Linked DNA regions of Lonchura striata. The protein of the gene in region 2 purifies or fractionates together with the protein of the main gene of each other region. This does not show direct contact. Links are inferred from orthologs where the notes say so. Each region holds a gene or a part of one and is shown on either strand. Other genes may lie near its edges. The genes, in order: ING2, SIN3A, MTA2 and SAP130.

The links.
Region 1: the proteins of SIN3A (region 2) and ING2 purify together in Homo sapiens (affinity purification with mass spectrometry; 5 studies listed by BioGRID and IntAct, counting the BioPlex papers as one, with this or other methods). This does not show direct contact. The link is inferred for Lonchura striata from reciprocal best matches to the Homo sapiens genes SIN3A and ING2.
Region 3: the proteins of SIN3A (region 2) and MTA2 purify together in Homo sapiens (affinity purification with mass spectrometry; 4 studies listed by BioGRID, with this or other methods). This does not show direct contact. The link is inferred for Lonchura striata from reciprocal best matches to the Homo sapiens genes SIN3A and MTA2.
Region 4: the proteins of SIN3A (region 2) and SAP130 purify together in Homo sapiens (affinity purification with mass spectrometry; 4 studies listed by BioGRID, with this or other methods). This does not show direct contact. The link is inferred for Lonchura striata from reciprocal best matches to the Homo sapiens genes SIN3A and SAP130.

Annotation. Positions count from the first base shown.
Region 1 is NC_134606.1:32,346,750-32,353,617, reverse strand, and holds the start of ING2 (inhibitor of growth protein 2), read left to right. Parts: upstream 1-3,861; 5' UTR 3,862-3,996; coding exon 3,997-4,186; intron 4,187-6,868. UniProt on the Homo sapiens protein: Seems to be involved in p53/TP53 activation and p53/TP53-dependent apoptotic pathways, probably by enhancing acetylation of p53/TP53. Component of a mSin3A-like corepressor complex, which is probably involved in deacetylation of nucleosomal histones.
Region 2 is NC_134613.1:5,631,469-5,639,064, forward strand, and holds the start of SIN3A (paired amphipathic helix protein Sin3a), read left to right. Parts: upstream 1-4,589; 5' UTR 4,590-4,633; intron 4,634-5,863; exon of another isoform or gene 5,864-5,940; intron 5,941-6,466; exon of another isoform or gene 6,467-6,703; intron 6,704-7,596. Other genes in the region: PTPN9 (tyrosine-protein phosphatase non-receptor type 9), read left to right, coding at 220-446. UniProt on the Homo sapiens protein: Acts as a transcriptional repressor. Corepressor for REST. Interacts with MXI1 to repress MYC responsive genes and antagonize MYC oncogenic activities. Also interacts with MXD1-MAX heterodimers to repress transcription by tethering SIN3A to DNA.
Region 3 is NC_134638.1:417,187-424,952, forward strand, and holds the start of MTA2 (metastasis-associated protein MTA2), read right to left. Parts: upstream 3,019-7,766; 5' UTR 2,881-3,018; coding exon 2,853-2,880; intron 1,852-2,852; coding exon 1,784-1,851; intron 1,689-1,783; coding exon 1,595-1,688; intron 1,039-1,594; coding exon 921-1,038; intron 813-920; coding exon 749-812; intron 657-748; coding exon 539-656; intron 459-538; coding exon 356-458; intron 277-355; coding exon 177-276; intron 1-176. UniProt on the Homo sapiens protein: May function as a transcriptional coregulator. Acts as a component of the histone deacetylase NuRD complex which participates in the remodeling of chromatin.
Region 4 is NC_134612.1:4,326,740-4,333,607, reverse strand, and holds the start of SAP130 (histone deacetylase complex subunit SAP130), read right to left. Parts: upstream 3,013-6,868; 5' UTR 2,918-3,012; intron 2,488-2,917; 5' UTR 2,483-2,487; coding exon 2,371-2,482; intron 1,574-2,370; coding exon 1,338-1,573; intron 793-1,337; coding exon 634-792; intron 1-633. UniProt on the Homo sapiens protein: Acts as a transcriptional repressor. May function in the assembly and/or enzymatic activity of the mSin3A corepressor complex or in mediating interactions between the complex and other regulatory complexes.

The DNA.
Region 1 (6,868 bases), on a different chromosome or scaffold from region 2:
ATGTCAATAGGTACCTCAGGCAATAACACACAAAAAATCTTCTATTATGCAAAAAAAGGTCCTGGTTATTTTCCCTTAAATTCATGTGGATTCTTCCACTTACTAGAATGAAAAAGAATCAGGGTTCAGGGTGAGGTAAGACAAGAAAGATGGTTACTAATTCAGTAAGATTACCTTGTTACCATTTCTAACTTGGCTTCCCTGAACATCATCTGCACACCTCCCAAGGTTTTTTCACAGGGTGACTGGTTCTAGAGCTGGAAACCAAATCCACCGATCATTTCTGCTTTGCAACAGTAGCTGAGGAAGAGGAGTTACTTTCTAAATGCAATTTCCTGGAGACAAAGGGAAGTGTTACTTGAGACACAAGTGGACAGATCCAAGTTGTAAATGACAGGGAATGATCCATGTGGTGCTCTCATTGCAGTGGCCAGATGCTGCCCCTCAGCTGATCAGCAGTGTCCCCTTCCTCTAAGAAGCTGCAGTTCCTATGCCAGCCAAGCATGCCCCATAGCACCTGTGAGAAGCTAGTACTTAAGGAAAACAGAAAGCAATGTCTGGCATTACAGGGAAGTATCTTTTTTGGATGACCTGATGTTAGAGAAGCTTTTGAGAATAGCTTACCTGGTCAAATACAGTAGTATTATTATGTGAAACAGGACAGGAATCATCTGCATTTTGAGGATGTAAAATGAGGATTATGAAAGATGAAAGGCAAAACTTCAATTGGGGAAAATAAAAGTTGGATTAAATTTCTGGAAATAATTTTATCTTAGTAAAATCTGTAACATAATGAGATCATCTTTCACAAAAAGAAGGGGAATACTCTGGTTGGAACTTTAAAAACCTATACTGGTAATTTATAAAGAAATAAAAACTGTTGGTATCTATTCTCCCTGAAAACTGGGATTAGTTTAGATTCATTTAGATTATTTTAGCTTTTACTGGGATTTATTTATTTTATAAATAAATATAAATAAACTGAATATAGGAGCTCTCTGTTACTTACCCTTGGTGGACAGCTACTGAGATATGTTTGATGCAATACACACTAATATCACATCCCTGTGTATATCAACCTCAAGCTGACAGTTTCACACTTAGCAGAGAGGGTTGGTGGAAATATATGGTTGTTCTGCCTGTCCACCTCTACAATTAGCAAGGTTTTGCTCTACCATGCAAGTTCCTATCTGCAGATTCTTCTCACATACAGACAGTGAAAGAAAGGACATAGTTGTTTCTCAGAGATGTCTATCAACCTGCAAACTTGAGCCCAATGCATCAGAATTCTCCTGTGCTTGCTCCTAGCAATTTTGAGGCATGAGCAAAGTGGAGAATTCAATCTGCCATTCTTGCTTTCCTTTACTCTGAGGCTTCAAATATGCAGCAAGCTAAGGCTTCTTTTTTCCTAGGGAAATCTGGTCCAGTGCCATTGTTGTGTTCTTATGGTTCCCCAAAATTTAAATTTTTATTTTAGTGTTTGAAACAGCAGACAACACTTAAATTCAGAAGTCATTAGCTATTCTCTGCCGTACCTTAGATACTGATTCCCCCATAGTGACAAACAGCAAGCTTTTAGCACAGAAACCACCTGCTTGTTCATAAAAAATATTATTAATTATTTTCTTGGCTCTTTCTTTACTGACAGTGCATACACAGTTTCTTGTCAGGAAAAAAAAGTTATGCCAAAATGTTTGGTTTAAATTCATACTTAGTAGTAATTAGCATTTAATTTTAAATAACATGTTAATTTTGAATAAACATTTTTGCTTTATTTTTAGTGCTCTGTAGGGGAATCTCCTATTTCATAGCTTTATTTCTTCATGAGATGGCAGAATGTTACACCCATTCAAACTTACTAAAAGCAGAAACACAACCCCTCAAAACAGCCAACACTTTTCTCAATAATATTGTATCAATTATATTAATCCAGGTCCTTTTCACTGGCATACAGGTAGTGCTTTTTGCCTGTACAGTAAGTGTTATTTGTTAATATTATTAAAAAAATTCAGTCTTCAGTTACTTCAGTTACTCAGAAGTGACAGCAATGAATGCTGTAAAGTGCCAATGGAAGCCAAGTGCCAATGGAAGCCAAGGTAACCAAGTTATTGCCACTTTCTATATGAGGCTTCGTTAACCTGAGCTGTAAGAGTGAAAAAAAAAAAAAAAAAAAAAAAAAAAAAAAAAAGCAGCGGGTTTTAGAGGTGTTACTAGAGGTGTTACACTGTAAATTAAAACTGTTAATTTTAAAATGAAGGTGCCCTCTTAAGAACATGAACACAGAATTACAGACTTCCTGTTTTTTTGGCCAGAGTGACATCAGCGTAGGGAAGGATGTTTTGAAAGTACTGTCTACAACTTTGTTTTCATTCATTTTTATGACCTTGCCAACACATTGCTGACTTGGGCAAAGCTGACTGATTGCAGCTACAATTACTCAACAGCTTGGACACAGACATATGCAAATCCCTGCCATGGAAAACCCCCTTGCCTAGTGGCTGCTTGACTTGGAAGTAGGAATGTTTAAATAGTTCTGTGAACTAGGGTCTTAAGAAAATAACACTTGCAGACTGCCATCATGTGAGACACTAATTTTCCTGTATGAGTAGCCATGGAGCTATTTGGCGTAGACCACACAGTGACAGAATTCCAGGAAAAAGGAGTCTGGATGGGATCCTTGGGGGGCCACCAAAGCAGAGCCAGCTTCACAGCCAAATCAGGTTGTGTCAGGCCCTATCCAGGGAGCTTGAAAAATATCCAAGAATGGAGATTATGCAACCTCTCTGTGCAACCTGTGCTGCTGTTTCACCACTACTCCAGATCATGCCATCCTGAAATGCTATCTACAAGATAAGTATGGGTACTCTTTTAGTGCTGGCTACTCAACTAGAGGTAGGAATGTAAGACAGAAGGGAGTTCGGGGATTTGAATTTACTTCTTATTTTCAATTTTATTTCTGAATTCAATAATCTGATTTTTCTTTGTTTGGTTGGTTTTTTGCTGCATTTACCATATGCATTTTCCCTGGATATCTTTTTGGATGACTAAAATATAAATGAAACTATGCAAAATATACAGGTCTCTGCAGGAGGTTTCAAGATTTGACAAAATTAATTTTCTTTTCCTGATGCTTACCAATAATTATTCATGTACTAAAGACCTGAAAAATATCCCAAAGAGAAGTGGAGATGAAATATCAACATTTTATAGTATAGATGTATACATTTATAGTATAAATATATATATATTTATATGTATATAGTCAAAAAGTGTAATTTAACTTTTGTTTCCTAGTATAATTGTTGTGGCAAACATGTAATAGAAATTCTGCAACGGGAATGGGAAAGACATGGATACTCTGTCAAATTTTTGAGATTGTGTCGTGCTGTGTGGTGAGTGGCTTTTAATGGCCAAAGCTCGTTGATGCCTTATTTAAAATACTCTTGCAATGATTTCTCAGGATAAAAATGTCACTCAGCTTCCCTCTTTGCTCTTCTTTAAAGATAAGTCAGGTGGCTCTTCCTGCGGGCAGGAACTTTCCGCGCTGCCCCGCGGGGATCTCCGCCGGGGCGCGGAAGCGGCGGCGGCGCCTTTATGGCAGGCCCCGCCCCCCGCGCGCCCCCGCCGCGCGCCAGGCCAATGGGAGCGCGCGCCTGGGAAGGCGGGAGAATGCGAACCCCTGGCAGCGCCGCCAGCCGCGCCTTATAAGGGCAGGGCCTCGCGCATGCGCGCTGCGCGTAGGGGCGGGGGCGCCGAGCGGGGGTTTTGCTCCGGCGGCGGCACCGCGGGAAGGGGCGCGCGACCCGCGGGACCCCGCGGAGGGGCGGCCGCACCCGCACCCGCCCGGCCCGGCCAGCGCTCACCGCCCCCCGGGCGCGGCCGCCCGAGGGCAACGGGGCGGCGGCAGCAGGAGGAGGAAAAGAAGAAGACGGAGAAGGGAGCGGGGCCGCCGCAAGGACCCCGCGCCCGGTGCGGGCGGCGCGGCGGCGGCGGCGGATGTGCTGCTGGCGCGGGGGGATGATGCTGGCGGGGCCACAGCTGGTGGCGGGGCCGGCGGCGCCGGGCGGGGAGCGGGCCCGGCTGCTCTCGCTCTACGTGCAGGACTACCTGGAGTGCGTGGAGTCTCTGCCGCTGGACATCCAGCGCAACGCCTCGCTGCTCCGGGAGATGGACACGCAGTGCCAAGGTGGGCGCCGCCGCGGGGCACCGGGCGGCGGGGAGAGAGGGGAAAGGGACGGCCTCCACCCGCCGCACATGCGCCCGGCGCCGAGGAGCCGGGCCCGGGGTGAAACCCTGCCGGGGCCCCGCGGGGCTAAGCCTGCGGGGGCGCGGGGCTGCCGGCGCCCGGTCGGTGCCGGGGGAGGCCGCCCCACGGCGGGGCCGCGCCGCCCGGCGCTAGGCCCCGGCTCCGCCGTTTGGGGTCGCTTCCGCCCCGCCGGGCAGCCCCGCTGCCGAGCCGGCGGCGCCGCTGGAGGTGGGGTGCGGAATCGGCCTCCCCGCGGCTCCTCCCGCCGCGCGGGCCGGGGGGCGGTGTCGCACGGCAGACCGCACGCACGGCGGGGCGGGGATACGCGAAGCGCCGGCAGCCTGCACTTGGGTCGTGGAGGGAGGCTGCGGAGCGGGAAGTTGCCCTAAACCTCCTCCGGAGGCACGGCTCCTTCGGGAGGCCAGTTCGGTGCCGATTAAAGAGCGTGCGCCCCCCCGGCGGGGCACAGCGGTGCCCGGCAGTGCCAGCCGGCCCTGCCGCGAGGCAGGAATTTGATCCCGTGGAGTCGGCACTGGAGCCGCATCTCCCTCCTCCAGCGTGGGCAGGAGGGGACCACGGGCACCGTCGAGGCCTCTTAGACGCTGAGGGGCCACCTCAGGAGGCAGCTGTTGTGAAGGGATTCTTTCAATTATCTTTCTAATTACCCGAGAAAACACATAAGAACAGGCTTTTGTAAGTTGCCTGGGATTTCAAGTTTAAAGGGCATAGATTTGCCTGCAGCATTTTGAATTCCTAGTCAAGGCTGGCTCTTTACCTCCTGATCCATGGTGGCTTGCCAGCAATCATCAGACTTTAATAGATAAAATATTTTCTTTAGACTCCTTATTAATGTGTATTTATCCAGCCACCAATACTGGGCCATAAAAAAAATGTTGCTAATTTTAACCAAAGCCTTCAACTGTTTAAAAAAAAAACAGAAACAAAAAATCTTCAAAACCCTAAAAATGGGATAAAAATATTTAGACCCAAGCCTGAAAATGTAAAAGCAATGCCATATTATTTCGGCTAATTTAAAAGGTAGAGATGGTGTGTGGATGAGGGAAAAAGTCAGTCTTGTACTTAGAAAACAAATAATTTTAGCTTTTATTAGCTCCACCAAACTTCATCAGATTATCTGTAATATACACTTGGCCCTGGTTTGGGTTGGAGTTTTTTTTTGTGGGGATTTTTTTTTTTTTTTACAGAGGTTTCAGGGTTGTTTATTAGGGTGTATGAATGCCTTGTCTAATCTTTGGGGATTCACAAGAAGTTTGGTAAAGTTTGGTAATCTCTGTCAGTCCAAAACTTCTTTGCTCTCTTTAGTGGATGTTGATCCGTGTAAAGTTCAGCATATCTTCACAGGCTGCATCCAGGCAATAACCGACGTAGGGTGAATGTTGTTCTCTGTCACAGTATGAATGAGCAAACAGCTATTGTTTGTGAACGGTTCTGGGTAATGCATTCCCAGTACAGGAAATCTATCTAATCTATCTGTACCTACACTTCTGCCTCCAAAAAAAGAAGTCTGGGTGGGAGATAGTGTGGTTGTACAATATTGTGCTCTGGTTATACCTTACTTGTTCAACAGCATACAAAGTACCCTACTCCATGCTTCGCAGGAGCTGAGAGTAAGATTTTTAAAAATTTAATTTCTCTTGTCAGGGCAACAGGCAGGGGATGCAGCTGAAGGTACAGGGAAACAAAACTTATGGTTTAAATGGTAGCTGGAATGCTGATATTAAAATACAGAAAACACAGGCTGAGTTACTGGACAGGCTAGAGAAGTGATTTTTATCTTACCTTAGAGAAGGTCTGGAACAGAACAAAATTCAGTTGGCTCCTGTTGTCATACAGGTTTCAGAATTTATAGTAAAAAGCAGTTGGTCATGCTTAAGCTACTGTTCCAAGATAGCAGCAGGAAAAAAAAATATCACTAGGAATGATGCTGAGATGACAAGCTTGAATTATTTACAATAGTGCAGACAAGTTCTTTTAAAATGAAAGCAAATTATTTAAATGCAGGTCTTTAGGAAGAGGTAGATTGTACTACATAACTTCTGTTTTAGAAGTAAATAGTTTAATACCATTTATAAACTCCCTTACCTGTTCAAATAAAATCCTAAGTTCTGATTGAACCAATACTGTACCTAACACTGTACATCAAGTTCCACTGTCAGCTCTTCTAATTATTTCCTTCCCTTTTTCTTCTTAATGTGTAGATCTAGTGTAACATTTGGCTTGGAAAAAGTAATTTTAAAATACAGCAATGTAGAACAGCAGAGTACAAGACTAAGACTGATTTATAAGACATTTACTGATCTCATATTCGGGTTCATTAAACTTGCTGCTTAGAACTAAATTTAGTGAAAGATTCACAGCAACACATGCAGTTATTTTGCGTGACTTGGAAGAGGGAAAGCTTGAGAATCAAACTGTGAGCCACTCATTTACTAGTTGCTTAAAAATATCCTATGATGCACTAAAGAGAAGGTCACCTATTCTGAAAAGTTCAACCTTGATTTAAAATGTAGCTTGCTGTAATTTGTTTTGATAATCGGCAACGTATTTTGAGGGGTGTAAGTTGATTTTCATTCTGATTGTAAATTTGCTATTATGTAACTT
Region 2 (7,596 bases):
GCTTCCCTGGGGCATTTCCATCCTGGGGACTTGCGCTGTATTTGCAAGCTGGTTGACCTGAGACATGTCCTCAGGACTTCCCACAACCATCAGACTTGGGAGAAGTGCCCAGGTGCCTCTAGGAGATCTGTGGGGGGCTGAGCACCACCACTCCAGTTCTCACAAGGGGCAGTGATGGCACCGTTTGGTGTCTGACACCATCCCCATCACCGTCTCTAGGTACCTTCTGCGCGCTGGACATCTGCCTGTCGCAGCTGCAGGACGTGGGCACCCTGAACATCTACCAGACAGTGCTGCGCATGCGCACCCAGCGCGCCTTCAGCATCCAGACCCCCGAGCAGTATTACTTCTGCTACACCGCCATCCTCGAGCACGCCCAGCGCGAGGGCCTGCTGCTCACCAACCACAGCCGGGCCGCCCAGGACAAGAGCTCGCCGGGGCACTGAGACCCTCCGCCTCCCTGCAGACGCCGCTGCCCATCCTCGGGGGCTGCCCGTGTCGCCTCGGTGCCCGCCGGGACTCAGCAGAGCCGTGGGGGCGGCGGTGCCGGAGCACCTCAGCTGTCAGCACTGCTATGGAACTGTGCCTTATTCAACCCAAACGGTGGCTGCCACTTGCCGGCATGGGAAGGGGCTCTCACTCCTCCCCGTCGTGTTTTGGTTGGGTTTGGATGGTTGGGGAGGTGGTTTGTCTTCTCTTGTTTTTTTGTTTTGGTTTTGGTTTTTTTGTTGTTGTCGGGACCACCTAAGATGTACCTAGAGAGGGGCTTTGCAAAGTCCTAGGAAATGTATTCCCAGTCCTGGGGCTGAGGAAGAGGCACGTGCTTCGGTCTCACCTGAGGCTCCATCTGTGTGTCTGTATGTATGTGTGTATATAATATACCCCCGCTGTGACCCCCTGCCTATTATATAGATACATATATACGACCTCCCCTTTAGCAGCTCCCAAGGGTCCCCGCTGTCCTGCCACCTCACTGCTGTGACCTCTGGAGCGGTGAGTTTGGTCCTGGCTCTGTTTTGTCTTCCCCCTTCTCCTTATTTCCCCTCATGGGCAACGTTGGGACCCAGTACCCACTCCTGTGCCCATCCCGCCGGAGGCACAAGGATACTTGATAGTGTCCCCCGTTTCTTTGTCTCATCTTCCCCATGGAGAGGTAGCAGCTGTGCTCCTGGGAAGATCTGGAAGATTGGGTTGCCGGGGGGTGCCGAGCTGGCAGGCATCCCCTGCCCCTTGGGTGCCGCTGAGGGAGTCACTAGGTACGAGGTGACGGGGCCGTGGGGACCGACCGGCTCTCCAGGTTGCCCGGCTTTCCCAAGCTGCCGCTGGGAACCCGCGGGCCCAGCCCTGCGTTGAGTCATGGGCTGGGAAAGCGCTGAGCAAGAGTAAACCCCAAACCCTGGAGAGGCAGCGAGCCTCTGCCCCGGCCCCAACCCCTGCCACTGCCAGGGCCTCCCCAACTTTATACTGTAATAAGCTCTTTGAATGTGTATATTCTTATTTTTTTATAATCTTGGGGGAGGAGGGCACAGGGTTTGGGAGGTTTGGTTTTGTTTTGTTTTCTTTAGGGATTTTTTTTTGTTTGTTTTTTTGGGGTTTTTTTTGGGGGGGGGGGGTTGGCTTTTTTTTTTTGGTTTTTTTTGTATTTAACATTAACTTGATCCAAGCCGGAGCCAGAAGTATTTGTAAATGTTCCTATTTTGCTCTCAGAGAGACCTTTTTGTTGTTGTTACTTTTTTGGGAGTTGTTTTGTTTTTATTTGTATTGATATATAAATATACCACCAGTGACCAGTCCTCTTTGCTGTTGTGGGGGCATTGGGCAGGACAGAAGGAGGGAATTCAGGGTTTTGCACAGGCTGTGATCTCTAAATTCAGCTGGCCCCATCCCTGGCTACCTGTGAACTTTGAGGAGCACAGGGCTGTGCTTAGGGCTTATTCTGGCCTGGGTGAGGCTGAGACAGAGATAACCAGGCTGCAGGAAGCTTTCCTGGGCGGGCCGGATAGTGTCAGGAGGGAAGGCAGCACAATGAGCTGGTGTACCCAGGGGCGACACAAGCCACCCTGCTCCAAGCTCCTGCCTCTTCCCAGGGCCTTGACAAGCCTTAGGACATCAGTCTCTGTCTGGCCATGGTATCTGCCTGCTGCTGCCTTTTGCTGCAGGATTTGGGGGTGCAGACATCGCCTCTGTGCTTCTGAATCCCCTCTGAGCAGGCAAATAGGGCACAAAAATTAGGGGGAACTCCTGGGCTGTCAGGCAGCACCAGTGCCTTCAGGTGCAAGCAATGCCAGTCCCAGAGCAGCAGGCGCAGCCTGAGGCTTAGGGATGAGGGAATAAAAAAGGCAGCTTGTGCAAATGAAGCCCTAGAGCCAGCGAGAGAGCTCATGCCCCAGAGCAGGGCAGCTGGCGGGTGTGAAGAGCCGCACCTGTGTTTGTTCAGCTGGAGCCTAAAAACGTGAGGGATGCCAGTGTCTTTCTAGGACTAGCACAGGGAGAAGCTTTCCCCTGTGCTCTGGGGGTGGACTGGCTTGGCTGTGCCAAACTGAGGTCAGACACAAGCACTGCAAGGCTGGAAAAGAACCAGAGGCAGCAGGGAATCCGTCTGGAAGGGCTGCACAGGAGTGCACGAGAGGTGGGTGTTGGGAGCAGTCCTGGAGCTGTGCACATCCTGCCTGCAGAGTGGTTCTGGTTCAGCTGCCATGTCCCATCCTTCCAGGTACTTTTTTCCACCCAGCTCTCTCCTGGAGCAGCATCAGCCCAGGCAGTTTGCTCTGCTCCTGTGGCTCAGGCTGCCCCAGAGTTTCCCTCCAGGCACCTATTGCAGGGTGGCTCCTCTAAGAGAGCTCTCATCCTCTGAAGGAAGGCTCCTGTGGCCCTACCTCCTCACTGCCAAACTTTTTCACCCAGCTGGGCTTTCTTCTCGGCACACATGCAGGAGGGGAGTGTTAGCAGTTTATTGTTAATCCTGTGCTGTCAGCAGCAGCTCTCTGTAGCTCAGCGGGGCTTTTGGCAATGTGTTGGGTCCAGATCTGAAAGCTGCAGGTGATGCCAAGTGTCCTACGTGGCTCCACGAATGTGCCCAGCTCATGTCTCTCTTCCACTGGCTGTGAAATCCCAACGAAGCCCGCTCTGAGCACACGGTCAAGGTGGTTGTGCATTCTAGCTCAATTCCACGTGATGTGGGCACAGAGAAGCAAAATGTTTCCAAGATTCACGTCCTGGGTGTCGAGTAGGAATAACCAGAGGAGAGGGAGGGAGATAACCAGCGCTGCCTCTGAATGGGAACAGCTCGGATATGCTGCTCCCTTTGAGGAGTGATGAAGATCCCATCTGTGCTGGAGGCGGAGGAAAAGGTTGTAAACCTTTTCCATGGGAAAACAACCCAAACACACCCTCCCTTACTATTTCCAGGGCTGCCTTTCTTCTCAAAGCCAGCATTTTCAGTCCGCTTGCACAACATGATGTTTTGTTCCATCCATTCTGTCCATGCCAGCAGGTCCTACTCAGCAGTAGCAATAAGGATTTCTCTGGAAATGGTCACATCACACAGACAGCCAAAAGTTTCTGGAAAGAAAAACTTTGTATTGTTTGGAAAGCGGTGGGAAAAATGGGCTGTTGAGTGCAAGCAGCCTGATGCCTGGAGGATCTCCCCTTCCCTGAAGTGGCCCAGAGATAGGGATCAGCCACCACGGGCAAAAGTAACAGCACAGGCAATTCCAGGAACAAAATCCCAAGTTTCGCTGGAGTTTGGAAACAGGGATTTAAAGGCATTGCAGGGCAATCCTAAAGCGGCGCTGCCATCGCTGTGCCCACCTGTCTCATTTGGCTTTCTTGGCTGCATGCACGCCACCTCGCTAATGACGATTACTTTAGTGCTTGTAATTTTGCGCCCTGGGAGTTTGGAAAGAGCCTAGCTCCAGAGCTCTTAATTTCCCAGCCCTTCTGCTTCCTTGCCTCCGATTTCCAAGGTTCAGGCTCGATCTCCAGTGGCACTGCAGCCCGTGCAGGCTCAGAGCCCGGTGTCGAGAGCCCTTCCAGGGGTTAATCCGAGCTGCAGCTCCCAGCTGCGGAGAGCTCCTCTGCTGTGCCGGCTTGTCCCGGCAGCAGCCCTCTGCCTGCTCCTGCAACGCTCTCCCAGCCTGAGAGAGGGAAGAACAGCTGGAAAGAAGAACAAAAAACAACTAGATTTAGACCTTCTCTGAGTGAAGAAGGTGCTCGAAACACACACTTGAATAGAAGCGTGCAATATGTGTGTTTGTATTTCACCCTTTCCCGAGCACGCTCCAGACGCCCAGATGAGCACTGACGGGCGGCCAGGCCTGGCTCCCGCAGCCTCCGTCTGGGGAAGCCGGCAACCCCCTCCGCAACTTTGCAAAGGGAGAGAAACACGATGACTGACGGCACTGACCCCCACCTCCATCTCGCGTTCCAGCGGAGGGGAACGCCGGCTGCCGCCGCGGGGGCACCGGCCGGCTCGGCTCCCCCCGCCCTCCGCCGAGCGGCCTTTCCCTCACACCCCTGCCCGCGGCCCCCCTCCCGCCGTGGGCGGCGCGGCCGTGACGATCGGCGCCGCGGGGCCAATCCGCCCCGGGGGGAGTTCCCCCTCCATTCAGGGCTGCTCGCCTGCGCGCTGAGGGTATGTAACAGCTGCTTCCCCCACACGCACTTTCCCAGTTTCGCCCCCCTTCACGGGGATCGCTTCCCGAGCGCCGGGCCGGCGGCCGGGCGGGAACCTGAGGGAAAGGCGGCGGGGGGGGTGGAGGGGAGAGAAGCGCGCGCGCGCTGCGGATCCCGCCGGCGGGAAGCGCGCGACGGCGGCGGGAGCGGGCGGGGGGGGAGGCGAGTGACTGAGTGTGTGTGCGCGGGGGGAGGGCGGGGGCCATTGCCGCGGTGGCCACGCCCCCTTCCTGGCACGCCATTGGCTGCAGCCGCTGAGGGCGCCGCCCCCCGCGGCGCGCACTGCCCACGGTCCCCCCCCTCCTCCTCCTCGGTGCGTGCGTGCGTGAGTGTGAGCGTGTGCGAGTGTGCGGGGCGTGTGCGGGAGCCCGTGTGTGCGTGTGCCGTGTGCTCCCCGCCCGCACGTGTAACCGACCCGCCCCACGTGGGGCGCCGCCATCCCGGAAGTGAAGGGGTCGGGGACAAAAGGCAGCGCCGCGCCGCCCCCGGGACCGAGCCCCGCCGCCAAGTCCCCCCCGCCACTCCCGCCGCCGAAGCGGTTGGCGGCGGGGCCCGGGGCCGGTGGGGGGGCTGACGGGGGCAGCCGCTGGCGCGGGCCGCGGCCGCGATGTAAACATTCCACAAAAGGGCTCCCCAGAGAGGGGGGCGTGGCCTCGCCGGTGGCGGGCAGGGCCAATTCGCCGCGTGGGTGGGCTTCTCGGCGTGACGGCGGCGCGGCCCCGCTCGCCAATTGGCCGGCGCTCCGGTGTCGCAGCCAATAGGGCGGCGCGGGAGGCGGGACGGGGGCGGGGCGCGCTGCTTATACGGACATTTTTCTTCGGCGGTCGCTCCCCCCCCTCCTCTCCTCCCTCCCTTCCTCTCCACATCCCCTTCCTGGGGGCCGCGGCCAATAGGGGAGGGCCTGGTGGGCGGGGCCAGCGCTCCCATTGGCCGAGAGAGTGACGGGCGCGCGTCCCAGCCAACGGGCGCTCGGGGCTCCCCCCCTGCGCGAGGAGGGGCGGGATTTCCCGGGGAACAGAGAAGCGGGCAGCGCTCCGCCGCGGCGGCCGACAGACGGTTACTCCATCTTACCCCCCCCGCCGAGCCCCCCGCCCCCGCCGGGGCACCGGCGCCGCCCCCGCCCGCCCCCCCCCTCCGGGAGGAGGGGCGCGGGGACCCCCCCTTCTCACTGCGCCGGGGACAGCCCGCCCCCGCCGCCCGCCCGGGAGGTGCCCGCCACCCCCGGACCCTGAGGGAGACGCGGCCGCTGCCAGGAGCAGCTTCGAGGTAAGGAAGAGCGGGGCGGCGGGGACGGGAGGCCGCCGGGCCCGGGGCCGGCCCCCTCCGGCGATCCGTAGGGGGCGGGGCCCGGCGCCGGTGCGGCGGCGGCGCGGGGTTGGGGGGGGGCCGGTCGGTGCCCGCGGCGCGGCTCCCCGGGGAGCCCCGGCCCGCGCGGGCGGCCGCGCGTCCTCCCGCCCCGCCCCGCCCCGCCGGGGTGTCCCGGCCCCGGCATGGCGGGAGCGGCGGGCGGAGCGTGCGGCGGCCGCTGGGCGCGCTGCGAGCCGGGCGCCGCCTCCTCCCCCCGCCCCTCCGCCCGCCCTCCGCCCGGTGCCGCTCCCGGGCTGCGGCGGGACCGCCCCCGGCAGCGCTCGCCCGCATCGCACGGCCCCGGTACCGGCCGCACCGCGCGCCGGAGCCGCCGCCGGGGCTCCCGCCCGCCCGGGGGGGCGTTCCGAGAGCCGGCGGGGGGGGCGCGGTGCTCCCGGTCCCGGGGCCCGCCCAACTTCCCGCGGAGTTGCCGTGAGAGCGCCGTGCCGGGCCGCCCCCCCGCCGCCGTCCCGCTCCGGCACGGCCGCGGGCTCCCCCGTGGCTTCTCGCCGCTCTCCGGCTCCGTAGCGCAGCTCTCCGGAAGGACCTGTTGGAGCGACGCGTGGATGCAGGGAAACCCGAGAGCTCCTCGTGCACTCATTAATTTTCCTGCGATTTTTATAGCGAGCCGGATCCTTCTGCTCGTCCTCCCGTGCTGTGAACTTGGCAGACGCTTACGCTGGTATTTCATCCCTTTTTAAAAATTCTTCAGGCTCGTGTACATCCCTAGAAACTACTTTAAGGTTTGTAGGGTTTTTTTTGCTAGCAGGACCTAGTGGAGTTCAGGTAGCTTTAAAAGTAGGATGGTGTTTATGTCCGCTTAACTAAATCCTGGTTTTTCTGCCTTTTCCTGGCCTGGGTTCACGTTATTTGTGTGAATAGCACATGTGCTTAGATAGAAGTTACATCCCTGAAGAAACCTATTTATTTGGACCACTGAAATGGGGCAAAATTAGTTGTGTCAGCTCTATTTTAAACAAATTATCAAAGGCATCTCCAGCTGTGCGTGGATTTTCAGTCTCCCACGCTGTCTAGAGGAATCTAAACCTGGTCTATGTGTTAAAGTGTAGCTTAAAGATGACATAACACCTCATGTTTCTCTTTAACTTGCCGCTTTTAGTTGTGCTAAAAGGTGCAGGGTCAGTAAACAAGTGGGAAATGCCCAACTTAATTCAGTACAGCTGTATCTTTACTGGCCATTTTTCACTCCCAACTTGTAATTATTTTTCAAAATACACTTTCAGAAAAGTAAACATTATTATATAAGATTACATTACTATGTAGGATTAACTATATAGTGCAGTATTTTAAATTAAAATGGCATTTTATTTTAATATACTAATTTTAAAGCATCTGTAAGACTTCCTTCATCACATAAAGTGCCTTGGCAGCCTGGTGTCAGCCTGTGCTGGATCTCCAAGGACAGAAAAACACTTTTTAGGGTGTTTGTTTTTTTTTTTCCCTGCTGAGGTGAAGTTAGCAGTTTTTCACATGGGTACGCTCTTTACAAAAGGAAATCGTGCTTTTCCTCCCCCCAAACTGTCTTATCCTCATCCCTCCCACCTTCTGCTTCTG
Region 3 (7,766 bases), on a different chromosome or scaffold from region 2:
GTGAGATATAAAAAAATCTTTGGATGTCCCAACAGGACATGAGGAGTTCAGAAGAAGTTTTGGGGTCTCCCAGTGAGAAATGAGGAGGTTCTAGAGAGGTTTGGGGGTCTCCCAGTGGGAACTGAGGGTTCTGAGGGAGGTTTTGGGGTGCCCAGGGGGCTGGGGTCCCCCCTCACCAGGGTGATGTCCCGGGAGGCTGCGGCCGCGCTCATGTGCAGGCTGGGCTGGCGGATGGAGCTGCTGCAGTCCAGCGCCCGGGCAAACGTCCCCACGGCCCTGGGGGGGACATGGGGGGGTCAGCAGGGTCCCCCCAATCCCCCTGACCCCCCACCGACCCCCCCCGATCCCCCCTCACCGAGCCACCACCAGGAACTGGTCGATCTGCCGGTCCGTCAGGGGGTTGTCGGGGTCCCACACCTTCATCTCCATCTTCTGTTGGTTCCGGTTGTCCGACTCACCTGGGGGAGGTTTGGGGGGGCTGTCAGGATGACCCCCCCCCCATCCTGCACCCCCCAGAGCCCCCCCGAACCCCCCAAACCTTCGGCCAGACGCTCGGGGATCTCAGCTTGGTACTTGCAGCCCACCCTGATCTCGCCCTGGTCTGCCAGCAGCGTTTTCTGCACGGGGTCGAAGACCAGCGAGTAGAAGAAGCAATCCTGTGGGGAGGGGGCACATTGGGGGGGCTCAGCAGGGTGGGGAGACCCCCAAAATCCCCCCCCAGACCCATTTTGGGGCACACAGAACTCACCTCCTTCTCCAGGTACTGCCCCAGGATGTCGGTCTCGTTCAGCAGCGTCACGCTGCACTTCCCCCTGTAGGGGAAATTTGGGGAGAGGGTCACCCCAAAACCCCTCCCCACGCAGGGGAAGCCCCCCCAGAGGGTTTTCCCACCCCCCCAGAGCCGTTTCTGCCCCCGGTACCGGATGTGGGTGGCCGGGAGGGACTCGAACTGGCGAGACAGGAACAGCTCCCGGTGCTTGAGCTGGTGCCGCTGCTGCTCCGTCATCGGCGGCTGCTTCGACTCCTCCTCAAACTCGCCTGGGGGGGCCGCGGGGGGGTCACACCGGGGTGTTCCTCCCCCAAAATCCAGCTGGGAGGGCCCATTGTTCTCCCAAAACCCCCTCTGGGCTTTTGGCAACAGCCCCGAAGAGGGGGAGGGGAGGGAGGGGGAGGGGCCGTGGGAGGGGAGAGACCCCCCCCAGGAAGGGCAGGACCCCCCCAGTTTGATGGTTCAAAGGGGTCAGTCCTTTACCTGTAATTCCCCGCCCCAAAATTGGCAAAACCCCCCCAAAATTCAGCCCAAGAGAGGTGGAGAGAGACCGAGCAGCTCCAACCCCCCCTCAAATTTGGGGCGCCCCTTTGGGAGAGGTCACAGACCCCTCTGCAGCACCCCTAAATTACCCCAATAATGTCAAACCAGTTCTCCCCAAATTCTGGGAGCACCCCATTGTGATATGAGCCACAGACCGCCCTATAAACCCCCTAAAAACCCCTCAAATCCCCCACCCACCGGCATTACCCTTGGCCTGTCCTTTAAGGCTGCCCCCCAAATCCCCAAAACCTCCCCAAAACCCCCCAAAAGCCCCCCACTCACGGGCATTGCTGTCAGCCAGGCTGTTGAGGCTGCTGGAGATGTCACGCCGTCGGAACAGACAAACCACCTTGGCCTCCACGTTGCCATTGGCCGTCTGGGGGGGCACAGGGGGTCAGTGGGGTCCCCTGGGCTTGGGGACCCCCTCCCCAGGCTTGGAGACCCCCCTGAGGAACAGGGCAGGGGTCTCACCTTGTTGAGCTCCTCGATGCGCCGCACCAGGTAGGGGTTGCTGGAGGAGTTCTCGAAGTAGACGTAATCTGGGGAAAAATAGGGAGCAAAAATTGGGGGGTCACGAGGGCAGCCCCACCCCCCAAAAATCCTTTTTCTCAAACTTGTCAGGATTGTTCTTAGTTCCACCCAAATCCCCAAAATCCAGGGGGTTTTTGCAGCCAGATGTTCCCCTCATGGGAACGGGGTTTGTTACCCCACAGGACCCCCCCTCATTTCCCCCCCTCAGCCCCCCACTACAGACCAGAGGTCCCCCCCTGGCACAGACCTTCCCTCACAAATGAGGGTGGAGGACACCCCCCAAAAAAATCTCGGGTTCCCTTCTCATCAGAGACCACCCCCCTTTTTTCTTTAGATTTTTTTTTTTTTTTTTTTTTTGGGGGGGGGAGCCGTCTCCCACCTCCACGCCTCAGAATTTGGGGTCCCAAAGGAGCACACCCCTTAAAGAACCCTCCCCATTTCTGGCACCTCCTTTTCCTCACAGACTCCCAAGTTCCCTCACGAACACCCCAAATCCCCTCAGGGACCTCCTTAACCCCCTCACGGGACCCTTTCCTCTTCAGGACCCCCCCCGCCCCTAAATCCTCTCCCTCCAAATTCCCGCACGGGACCTCCCCCCCCACCGCCTATTGCCTCACAAGACACCCCCGCTGTTTCCGGGACCCCCAAATTTCCTCACAAGACCCTCTCCCCCTTTCCGGAACCCCCAAATCCCCTCACTGACCACCCCCCACTCCCCTCACGCTTGCCCCTTTCCAGGACCCCTCACGGACCCCCCCCCAATTCCCCTCACGACCCTTCCCGCGCCTCACGGAACCCCCAAATCCCCTCACAGACAACCCCCCCCGCCCTTTTCCCACTCCCCTCACGCCTCCCCCTTACCTCACGGACCCCCCCCCCCCCCAAAATCCCCTCACGGACCCCCCCAAACCCCCCCCCACACTCCGCTTTCCGGGACCCCCAAATCCCCTCAGGGCCCCCCCCAGAGCCCCTCCTGGAGGTCCCTGCCCGCGGCCCCCGGCCCGCTCACCGCCGACGCGGTACATGTTGGCCGCCATGGCCGCTCGCTCGGCCGCGCTACCCCCGGGCCCGGCCCCGGCCGCGCTTCATCGCCGCTCCCGCCGCCTCCGCGCCGGCACGGCCGGTTCGGAGCCCTTCGGGCACCTCCGGAGACGTTCGGCAACCTCCGGCAAGACCTCTCGGGCACCTCCGGAGAGGGTTTGGGCAACTCCGGAGAGACTCGGGTATTGCCGGATGCGTTCGGGCACCTCCGGCACGGGTTCGGCGCCGCCTCGGGCGCTTCCGGAGAGACCTCGGCGCTTTTCGGGAAAGCCTCGGCTTGGCCTCGGCTCTCTCCGGCACTCCTCGCCTCAACCTCGGCTCTTTCCGTAACGCGCTCGGCGAGTTCCGCCAGAACCGGAAAGGCGCCGAGGGCGGGCACGGAGGAAGAACCCGCGGCGCTTCCGGGAAGCGGCGGCGATCCCGGAGGAAACGGCGGGGTCCTACCCTGACCCCAAGGCTTTTATTGACGCCTCTCACAGTGCAGCGCGAAAACGCGGCGGGGGGGGAAAGCTTTCCACCAAACCCCGAGCCGCTCTTTGGTCCCAGGAAGGGGGGAAAGGGGGAAGAGGAAGCAGCGAGGAGGAGGAGGAGGAGGAAGGCGCGGGGCTCAGGCGCTGTCCCCGGGCAGCACCCGCCACTGGAAGACGCTGGTGTCCTTCCCGCCCAGCGACACCAGGTGTCCGTCGTCGTGCGTGAAGCGCACGTTGGTCACGTGGCTGCCGTGCCCGCCGTACACGTGACTGGGAGCCTGTGAGGGAGGGGGCGACACGTGACTGCGGGGTCACGTGGATACAGCCCCCCCCCCCCCCCCGCAAACGGGGGGGGACCCCCGAAATTGGGGTCTGACCCCCCCCCCCATACCCCTAAATTGGGGTGTGGGACCCCCCACCCCGATCCCCTCAAACTGGGGTCTGGGACCCTCCCGAGCCCAAAAATTTGGGGTCTGGAACCACCCCACGACCCCTCAAATTGGGGTCTGGACCCCCCCCCATACCCCTAAATTGGGGTGTGGGACCCCCCACCCCGATCCCCTCAAATTGGGGTCTGGGACCCTCCCGAGCCCAAAAATTTGGGGTCTGGAACCACCCCACGACCCCTCACATTGGGGTCTGGACCCCCCCCATACCCCTAAATTGGGGTGTGGGACCCCCACCCCTCACCCCGATCCCCTCATCCCCTCAAATTGGGGTCTGGGACCCTCCCGAGCCCAAAAATTTGGGGTCTGGAACCACCCCCACAACCCCTCAAATTGGGGTCTGGACCCCCCCCCCATACCCCTAAATTGGGGTGTGGGACCCCCCAAAACACCCAGTGGGTTTGGAGCCCCCAAATTTGGGGTATGGGACCTTCCTGAGCCCAAAAATTTGTGGTCTGGACCCCCCCCAGCCTCTCAAATTGGGGTCTGGGACTCTCCCGAGCCCAAAAATCTGGGATTTGGACCCCCCCCCAAATCCCCCCAGAACAGCCAGTCCAGGGGTTGGGATCGCCAACCCACCGGCAGTGAGTCTGGACCCTCCTGACCCCCCAAACTGGGGTCTGGGACCCCCAAACTGGACTCTGGGACCCTTCCCCAGCCCCCCCGAAACCCCCCCAGAGCCCGGTGCCCACCTTGGCCCGGGCACAGGGGTACTGGAACAGGTGAACCTTGCAGAAGTCGTCGGCCACGGCCACCACGCGCTCGTGGTGCGAGCGGCACAGCGAGTTGATGTCGGTGCCGTCCGAGCCGTCCGGCCACACCCCTGCGCCGATGTCGGGGGTCAGGGGGACCCCAAAAACCCCCAAATACCCCTCTAGAAACACGCAAAGCTCTCGGGGAGCTGGGGACCCCAAAAACATCCACAAATACCCCGCTAGAAACACCACAAGGGCTTGGGGAGCTGGGCAACCCAAAAAAAACCCCCCAAATATCCCGTTAGAAGTACCCAAAGGGCTCAGGGAACTGGGGGACCCCAAAAAAAAAAAAACCATTAGAACCTTCTGAAGCTCTCAGGGAGCTGGGGGACTCCAAAAAAACCCCAAATACCCTGTCAGAAACACCCAAAGCTCTCGGGGAACTGGGGATCACCCCAAAACAACCCCAAATACTCTGCCAGAACCACCCCGAGGGTTCGGAGAGCTGGGGGACCCTAAAAGAAACCCAAATACTCCTGACAGCACCCCCTGAACCACTTGGGGAGATGGGGAACCCCCCCAAACCCCCCCTGAGACCCCCCGAGCCCCCAGACCCACCGAAGACGTGGAAGCCCAGCACGCAGGTGTAGGAGGCCCATTCCCGGTCCCGGCTCTCGAAGCGGTTCCGCAGCAATTTGCAGCCCCCGGCCACGTCCCCTGGAGGGGGGAGAGACCCCCAAAATCTGGGCTGGGGGGGGCTTGGAGAGTTCACCCCGAAATTTGGGGTGGGGGGTAGTGAAAGGCACCCAAAATTTGGGAGGAGGAGGAGGGAGGGAAAAGGGAAAGCCCCCCCAAAAGCTGGGGAGGGGAAGGGAAAAGAGACCCCCAAAATCTGGGGAGGGAAAATGACACCCCCCCAAAAAGAACCAGGGGAGGGGGACAGTGAGACCCCAAAGTCTGGGGGGTCCCGGTGGGGTCAGGGGGTTCCCCCCAGCTTTGGAGGTCCTGGCAGGGGCAGAAGGGTCCTGGAAAGATCTGGAAGGGCCAGGAAGGTTCAGGAAGGTCCTGGCAGGGCCAGGGGGTTCCCCCCAGCTCTGGGGGTCCCGGCAGGGTCAGGAGGGTCCCGGCAGGGTCATGGGGGTCTCGTCAGCCCCAGGGGGAGCCCCCCAAGCCCCCAGACTCACAGTAGAGGATCTCATAATCCCCTGAGTTGGACATGATGAACCGCCCGTCCTTGGACCAGTCCAGGTGGGTGATGAAACTCGAGTGACCCTGGGGGCAGCGGGGGGTGGGGGGGGTCGCTGGGGGTCCGGGGGGGTTTGGGGACCCCCCCCCAGCCCCCGCCAGCCCCCCAGCTCACGGTGCAGCGGCCGAAGCGGCTGAACTTGCGGCCGCCCTCGGCCACGCTGTAGATGTAGATGAAATTGTCGTGGGAGCCGATGGCCAGGAAGGTCCCGTCTGCAACGGGGGGGACGCGGGTTTGGGGGGGACACGGGGTTTGGGGGGGACACGGGGTTTGGGGGGGCATGGGCTTTGGGGGGGACACGGGGTTTGGGGGGGACACGGGGTTTGGGGGGACACGGGGTTTGGGGGGCATGGGGTTTGGGGGGACACGGGGTTTGGGGGGGACACGGGGTTTGGGGGGGACACGGGGTTGGGGGGGACACGGGGTTTGGGGGGACACGGGGTTTGGGGGGACACGGGGTTTGGGGGGGCAGGGGGTTTGGGGGGGACACAGGGTTTGGGGGGGCTTGGGGGGGACACGGGTTTGGGGGGACACAGGGTTTGGGGGGATTTGGGGGGACACGGGTTTGGGGGGAACATGGATTTGGGGGAGTTTGGGGGGACACGGATTTGGGGGGTTTGGGGGAACACAAGTCTGGGGGGGCCCCATGACCTGGGAGGGTTTGGGGGGGGGTTCCACACACTGGGGGGGGATTTGGGATAGTTTGGGGACAGGGAGGGATCAGGGACAGTTTGGGGACATTCTGGGGACAGGGAGGGATCAGGGACAGGCCAGAGACAGTTTTAGGACAATTTTGGGACAGGGAGGGGTCAGGGACAATCTGGGGACAGTCTGGGGACAGTTTGGGATCAGGGACAGGCCAAGGACAGTTTGGGGACAGTTTGGGCTGGCAGGGGACGCGGGGCTCACCCGGTGAGAAGCGAACCACCGAGAGCTGCTCGTTCCCGTCCGAGCCCCCGGCCAGGAGCTGCCGCGTGCCCGTGTCCAGCACCAGCCACCTGCGGGACGGGGACACGGGGACATGGGGGGACACGGGACATGGGGGGACACGGGACATGGGACACGGGGGGACACGGGGACATGGGGGGGACAGGGGGACATGGGGGGACACGGGACATGGGGGCGACAGGGGGACATGGGGGGACACGGGGACATGGGGGGGACATGGGACATGGGGGGACACGGGGACATGGGGGGGACACGGGACATGGGGGGACACGGGGGGACACGGGGACATGGGGGGGACACGGGGACATGGGGGGACACGGGGACATGGGGGGGACATGGGGGGACACGGGGACATGGGGGGGACACGGGGACATGGGGGGGACACGGGACATGGGGGGACACGGGGACATGGGGGGGACAGGGGGACATGGGGGGACACAGGGGGACACGGGGACATGGGGGGACACGGGGACATGGGGGGACACGGGGACATGGGGGGGACAGGGGGACATGGGGGGACACAGGGGGACACGGGGACATGGGGGGACACAGGACAGGGGGGGACACGGGGACATGGGGGTGACAGGGGGACATGGGGGGGACACGGGGACATGGGGGGGGACACGGGGACATGGGGGGACACGGGGACATGGGGGTGACAGGGGGACCATGGGCACTGTTCCCCTGTGTCCCCATCTCCCCCCGTGTCCCCTTGTCCCCCCATGTCCTTGTGTCCTTCCATGTCCCCCCATGTCCCCCCGTGTCCCCCTGTGTCCCCTCCTGTCCCCATGTCCCCCCGTGTCCCCCGGTGTCCCCCCGTGTCCCCCGGTGTCCCGGTCACTCACCGCCCGCTCAGCAGCCCCACGGCCACCACGTGTCCCCCGGGGTGGAAGTCGGCGCAGAGCCCGGTGTCCTGGGGGTGGGGAGGGGTCACGGGGGGTCCCCGGGACCCCCCCAGAGCCCCAAACCGGGGCTGCCGCCACCCCCCGCACCCCAAACCACCCCCAGCCCCAATTCGGGGGTCCCCAGCCCGGGTGTGCTCCTCGTCCCTTGTCCCCAGAGCACCCCCTGACCCCA
Region 4 (6,868 bases), on a different chromosome or scaffold from region 2:
AGGCTAAATCCACTGAAATTGCTGCACATCCTTAGCCAGACTAATTCAAGTCCATGTAAAGGTACTTTACAAAACCCTGAGAGGTTTAGTAATGAGTGTTCTGACAAACTATTTTCAAACCAACAGGGCTGGCTCTGCAGTCAAGTTAGGGAAAAAATTTCAAAACCATTATCTACACAGACTCCATCAAATTTTGTCACTCCTCGTTCACTAAGAACAGTGAAAACCCAGGAACTTTTCACAAGTTTCTTCTGATCTCCTCCCAGAGAAACTGAAGAACACTGCAAAAATGAATCCCAGCAGTTTCTCTACAGTAGAAATTCTCCATGTGACACTGACACAGCAGGAGCTTTTAAAGAAAGACCCAGATTTTGGGTATGGCTCTGTCATCACAGCCTGGCTGTGCTATTTCAGTTGGATGATCCCAACACATCAGCAGCTTTATAAAGAGAAAGTGATAACCAAGCCTGAAACTTAGTGGTCCAAGCAGAACTGATCCAACAAGCAGCAGCACTGAACAGGGAAACCTGCTCTCTTTACATTCCCTCCTGCTGCAAAAGCCCACCTCAGCTGTACTTGTATTGATCTGACCATGCAGTGAGATGGAACAGAAAAGCCACCAAAAAACCAGACCTGTTGCCCACTGATAGTTGCCACAGGGATTGTTGGAGCCTGTGGTATGCTGCTCTCCATGGTCACAGTCACTTGCCCAGGGACCTTTGTGGGAGCTGAGAGAGTGGAGGGTGGAGCAGGAGCAATGGGCCGGCTGGGCATGGTGGGCTTCAAGGGAGGCTACAAGAAATGGAAAAACAGAAACATTGGCAATTCAAAGGAGAGCTCAGTGTTGAAGCAGCAATCATTTTGTGGGGTCAAAGCCTGAGGAGAAAGTTTATGCAAGCATGGCTAAATATTTGAAGAGGAAAAACACTGAACATTTCGTTATTCCAAACAAAGAAAGGGCATATTTTGTCCTGGAAATATGCAGGTTCTGGCATGAATCATCAATGGACTCTGTCAGGGCTATGGTATTGTGCTACAGACACTGGATATAAACTTTATATCCTGAAGAGACACTGGAAGACTTCAAAAACGGATTGAAATCACTGCTTTCCTCAAAGATAAACAAAATACACTCCCCTCAAAAATAATGCTAAAATACTAGCAAGTCCTCAGTGTATCTTCTGAATCAGCCAAAACCACAAGGCACTGCACAGTTAGCAGAAGCATGCAAAGAAAGCTTTAGAATAAAAAGCAGGGAAGGTTTTGGTGCAATTTACTTTTTCCCAACACCGACTCATACAGATTATATTTTTTTCCCCAATGAATCCTCTCATTACCTTCATAAGTCCATCTGAAAAAGAAAGTGGCACAGCTGGAGTCAAATGTGCTGGTGGTGCTGTCACTGTCACTGGAGCACCAGACTGGACAGGGTGGTGCTGTGCCAGCATCTGGACCTGTGGGTAGGGCCGGACCACCACGGGCTCTTGCTTCTCCTCCCGAGGCTGGATGGAGCCACTGGGGCCCATGTGCTCCCTGGGAGCAACTTCTGGCTCACGACTGGATTCGTCACTCACTAGGGAGAAACAGGAAAAAAAGGTAAGAATCGTTACAAAGTTTGCTTTGGTCACCCACTAGGTCAGAGATGAGACACTGGAAATACCGGAATTTAAGAAGTTCACTCTTAGAATTAAACATATTCCAGTGATGGAAAAACTGGGCACTCTGGCACTGCTTCTGTCTGTTCCCCTGAGAACTGATGGGTTGGGCAATGTTGGGGAACCTGGGGTCAACTCTGAGAAGTCCAACTAAACACCTTCTTTAAACACAGATGGACCAACTTTTCTTTCAAGTGAAAAGTAATTATCTAAGTAACTGCCATTAAGTCCCAGATCAAACAGCATGAAAAACTACACATTTAATGCAGTATGTATCTGAATAGCGAGCTGAAAACAAGTATAAAACCTCCTGAAAATGAAGCTGCCCCCCCAGTCACTTCTGGAAACCTGTCATCGTGGCAGGGACAGCAGGAGCTGGGACCACAGTTCGCACCCCATTTCCAGCTCCATGAGATGCTCCCACGTCCGCTTGTGCTAAGAACACAGAGGGCCGAGCGGAGCGGGACAGGCACCTGCGCACAGGCCCCGGGCAGGGATGCCAAGGCGCATCCCGGCTCTGCCGGCGCTGTCCCGAGCCGCAGCCGCCCTGCTGCCCCCGGTGCTCTCCCCACGCGGAACCTCGGCACTTCCAGCCACGGCCGCGGGGCCGCCTCGCTCCTCCCGCCCGCGGCGCAAAGCGCGACGGACGGGGCGGGGTACAGGGATCGCTGCCCGCCCCCGGAGGCGGCAGCCGCGGGGCCGGGATCGCGCTTACCTGTGGCGGCGGGGGCGATAATCCCGGCCGAGCCGCTGGTGGGGATGGGCGGCGGCGCTGGTCCCAGGGCGGCGGGAGGCGCGCCCGACCGGGGGAACTGCTGCGAGCTCATGTCACCTGCGGGCGGCAGCGCGGCCGTTAGCCCGGCCCGGCTCCCTCCCTCCGTCCCTCCCGCGCTCCGGGCGCGGCCCCGCGGCCCCACCCACCCCGGCTCGCGCCCGGCCCGGCCAATGGCGGCGGGGCGGCGCCGGCCAATCAGCGCCCGCCCTGCCCCGCCCCGCCCCGCCGCGCCGCCGCAGGGCCCGGATGTGCCCGGCAGCGCGACGGCCCCGCCGCCTCGGGCCAGGCCGCGCCGCCCTGCTCTGCCGCCGTCCCTTCGCGATGCCCCCTCCGCCGCGCTTCCGCCGGCAGGAGGCTCGCTCCACCCCCCCTCCCCGCCGCCGTCGCGCTCTGAAGCGGCGGACGCCGCCCGCTACCCGCAGCCTTTCCGCAAAGCCACCCCCGATCCGCAGATCTGGGCGATGCCGTGCGCCGGCCGCGGCAGTACCTGTGCCCGGGGCGGTGCCGTGCGCCGGTCCCTGAGGCCGGTCGCCCCGCGTCGCCGCCGCTGCCGAGCGCCGCTTCCGCCGCTGCAGCCGCCCGCACCCGATTGGCCCCGGCCAGCCCCGCCTACCCGGGGCTGCCGCGTTTCATTGGCTGCCGAGCCCGCCCCGCGGGGCCGCCGGGAGATGTAGTCCGTGCTGGGATGGTGGCGGGCGCAGATCTCGCGAGGCGCGGGAGGGGCGGTGCTGCTGCCGAGCGCGCCATTGGCCGCGCGCCGCCAGGTCTCCGGGGAGACGCGGGGTGGGCGGGACAGGCCGCGGTCAGCCCGGGCCGCGCCCGCCAGAACGGGGCGCACCGACCCGCCCCTGCCCCCGCCGACCCCCTGCAGCCGCCACCCCGAGCTCCGCACCCCGCTGTTGCTCTCCACACCCGGCCAAACCACCCCTTCCCCGCTAGAGTCCCCAACACCCAGTCTGGGCAGTGACAAGAAGACACGGCGGGAAGGCGCTGGGGAGGGTACGGCGGGAGTCAGCATCCCAAAAACATCCCAAAACCTCCGTAATTCGGGCGGTCCCCCATAACTCCCTGAGGGGCCCGCCCAAAGTGCTCCTCCCAGTCCTGGGAAGGGACACAAGGACATGTGGGTGCTCTGGGGATCCCTGGGGCTTAGCACTCCAAACCCCCTAAAATTCAGGGGGTGGGGGGTGGATTCCCCGAAGTCCCCAACCCTCATCCTGGTTAGGGACAAGGGGATAGGGGCGGGGCACCCTACCCTCCCCTATCACTGGGATAGACGGAAAAATATAAGTAATAATAATAACCACCCCCCCCCCCCCCCCCCAAACCTGGGAGATGACGCACATCACAGCCCTGAGAGCCCACAGTGCCGGGCGTTTGTTTACAGACACATCAGAACACCACCAGTCTTCAAGATAGTATTCTTCTCATGTTTCGAGGCTTAGAAATGAACTCAGCCAGACACCTGCCACTTTCAGAGTTTTAATAATGATTTAAAACTAAACCAGGAGTAAACCTTTGAAATGTTAGGAACACATGTAAGTAATGCCTAGGTGTGCCCCGCAAAGCTTAGCGCTTGTGTTGTGAACAGGAACACAAACAGTGTTTGTGCTGGCGCCGCTGGGGAAGCTGTGGCCAGCAGCAGCACTTTGTCGCGGCGCGATGTCACTCTCAGGACACCCGCCTGGGCTGCGGCTCAGCTCCCATCCTGAGACATTCCCTTCCCCTCTGCCTGCCGGGATTTACAGCTTCCTTCTGGCTTGCCGCGTCCCGCCCGGGACCGCAGTGCTGCTGCTGCACCTCCGTGTCCGGCGGGGGCGGCCGGGCACGGAGCCCGCACAGAGCCGGCCCCTCCGGCATGAACAGGGTAGAGAAGGTGTGAAAGGTGCAGAGAAGATAAATGAAGAACGACTGGCTTTAACCTGCCGTATGCTGCTCTCAGTTCCCCCCACGTCTCTACGCTTTAATAAACGAGCAGTTGTTTGCGCAGGGTGTCCTCCCGGCAGCACAGGCTGGCGACTGCTCAGGGCCAGTCAATGCCACGCGAAACCCACAGGTCGTGCCTTCGCTCCGGGCGCTGCCTCGCTCGCCGGCGGCCGCGGGCCGGGCTGCGGGCGGCCCGGCCCCGCCGTCACTGCGCGGCGCCGCCGGCCGGCGGCGGAAGCGGAAGCGGCGCGGGCGGCGGGAGCCGGGCGGCGCGCGGCCGCTCGCAGGTGCGAACCGCGGCCGCGGGGCCCTGAGGGAGCGGCGGCGCGGCGGGCGCGGGGGCGGCGGGCGGCCGGGGCGAGCCGCGCTGCGGGGCCGGCACCGGCGGCGTCCCTCCAGCGGCCCCCGCGGGGATCGGTTGGGCGGTCAGCGGGAGCGGGGAGCGGCGGAGGCTGCGTTTGATGCCCGGCACCCTCAGCGCCGTGACGGGCCGGGTGTCGTGTGTGCTTTGAGCCCTGGCTGCTCGGCGCCTCGGTGGCGCGGGGCAGCGCAGCGGGCGCCTCTGCGGGACCGACCCGAGCGCTCGGTGCCCGCTGGTTCCCGTGATCTCTGCGTGCGCGGTGCCCGTCCCGGTGCCCCGCGCTGTGCCTGCAGCAGGACCTGCCCCTCGCTCCCGGCGGCAGCGCGCTTTGCTTTGCCCTTCACCCGCTTGCCACCACACCGGCCTGGCAGAGGGCACTGGCTGTAAACGTGGGCTGGTTTATTCCTCTCCCCAAGGCTGGATGTGCGAGTTGCCCGGAGTATTTTAAACGGAATAATTGGAAGAAAAATAAGGAGGAAAAATATTTACACTGCTTTGCGGTGTCGTAATTCAGATTGGGTTTTGTTGTGTTACCTGGCACAAAGCTGGATCGCCTTGTGTCAATTTTGTTCATTCCCGTGCCTGTTACCTCTTTTTCCATGGTCTGTTTTTCTTTGAGAGATCGGTCATTCCTTTGTTTTATGGCTGTTATTGTTGAGGATTTGTAGATATTTCTAAACTGCAGGTTTTCAGTTGGTTAAACTAGCAGGTGTCAGATGTGTCCTTTGGTTTCTTTCCTATTTCATACAGAAAAAGGCTTTTAATTCAGTCTTTCCCGGAGCAGGAAAGCAGGCACAAGAGAGCAGCACTGGGGGGTTTAGCCATGAGAGTGCTGTTGGGTATATTCATTTACCTATTCCAAGCTCCAGTGTGTGATTTGCAGAGAATAAGAAGGACCCATCTCTGAGAGGAGCTGTGAATTGGTTTTTCGTGTCAGTTGGCAGAAGCCAATGTTTCACTCTACAAATATTGGCTGAGCTTCCCCCTCTGCACACAGGGAGTGATGGCTGTGCCCGTTCTGTGATGCCATCTGTCTGCTTCCCAGGTGTGACATAAAACAAATGTCCTGTGCAGCTGACCAAGCTGCTCTTTGAGGATCACAGCAGGAATTTCTGGTTTTATTCCCAGAGAAAGAATAATGTCTGAGTTATTGCTGGGAAACATTTGGCTGGAGGGGTATAAACTTTTAAAGAGAGAAGGATTTGGTTTGTTTTGTATATATACAGGTAGCTTAGAGCTACAGATATATAACCCCGTCCTTTATATTGAGATGGTAATAAAAAAGAGACAGAAGTTAGATCCTGGCAGGTTGTTGGGTGTGGTATATGTAGAATTGAATTAGGATGTTTTTTTAGGTGCAGGGGGAACATGGAAAATAAGTTTACTAGGAAAAAAAAGATAAAGAACTCAATGAGCACTTGAGTGCATATTGGGGGCATAATAAATATAAATATACTATAGTCAGAGAGGGGCAAAAAAAGCTTGAACCATTGGAGACTGTAATGGAAAGCCAACAGAAGAATTCAGGTCTTCCATAAGTTTAGGAGTTGTGGGCAAGGAAATTCCACTCAGCTTTTTTTTGGTGTGTAGGCCAGAGAATACAAGGCTTGAAAATACACAAAATGAAGGATAATAAAGAAATGGAATGATTTTTTTCTACTTTCTCAGTAGGTTGTATAATTTTAGTCTGTTTGCATTATTTCATTCATATTTCAGCTTTTAAATTTGGTGGTGCTTGGTGCAGCCAGGAAATACTTGTTTCTTCATTCCCCAAAAAACCTAAAGGACTGACTGGGGAACCTCACCCTTGCCTGCATTAGTCCACAGCTGCTGGATCTGTGCTAACACACAGTGTGATTTTACCTCCCACAAAATGAACAGTGGGTTGTTTTCTCACCCAGTCTGAAATGTGTGCAGTTTGTAATACTCTTAAAGCAAGATGTATGTGGTGTTGGCATCTTGGAACAAAAGCATAAACATTATTTGAAAGCATAAACACAGAGGAAGCTGGAATTGATTTAGGTTTAATTGCATCTCAGGAGTAAGTTTGTAAATTCCTTGCCTCTCCAAGTTTTTGATTTTGTAAGCCCAGGTGAGAGTGTGATCATCTCATTAATGCATTGCATTAAATGCAGTATTAAAATCTTAACA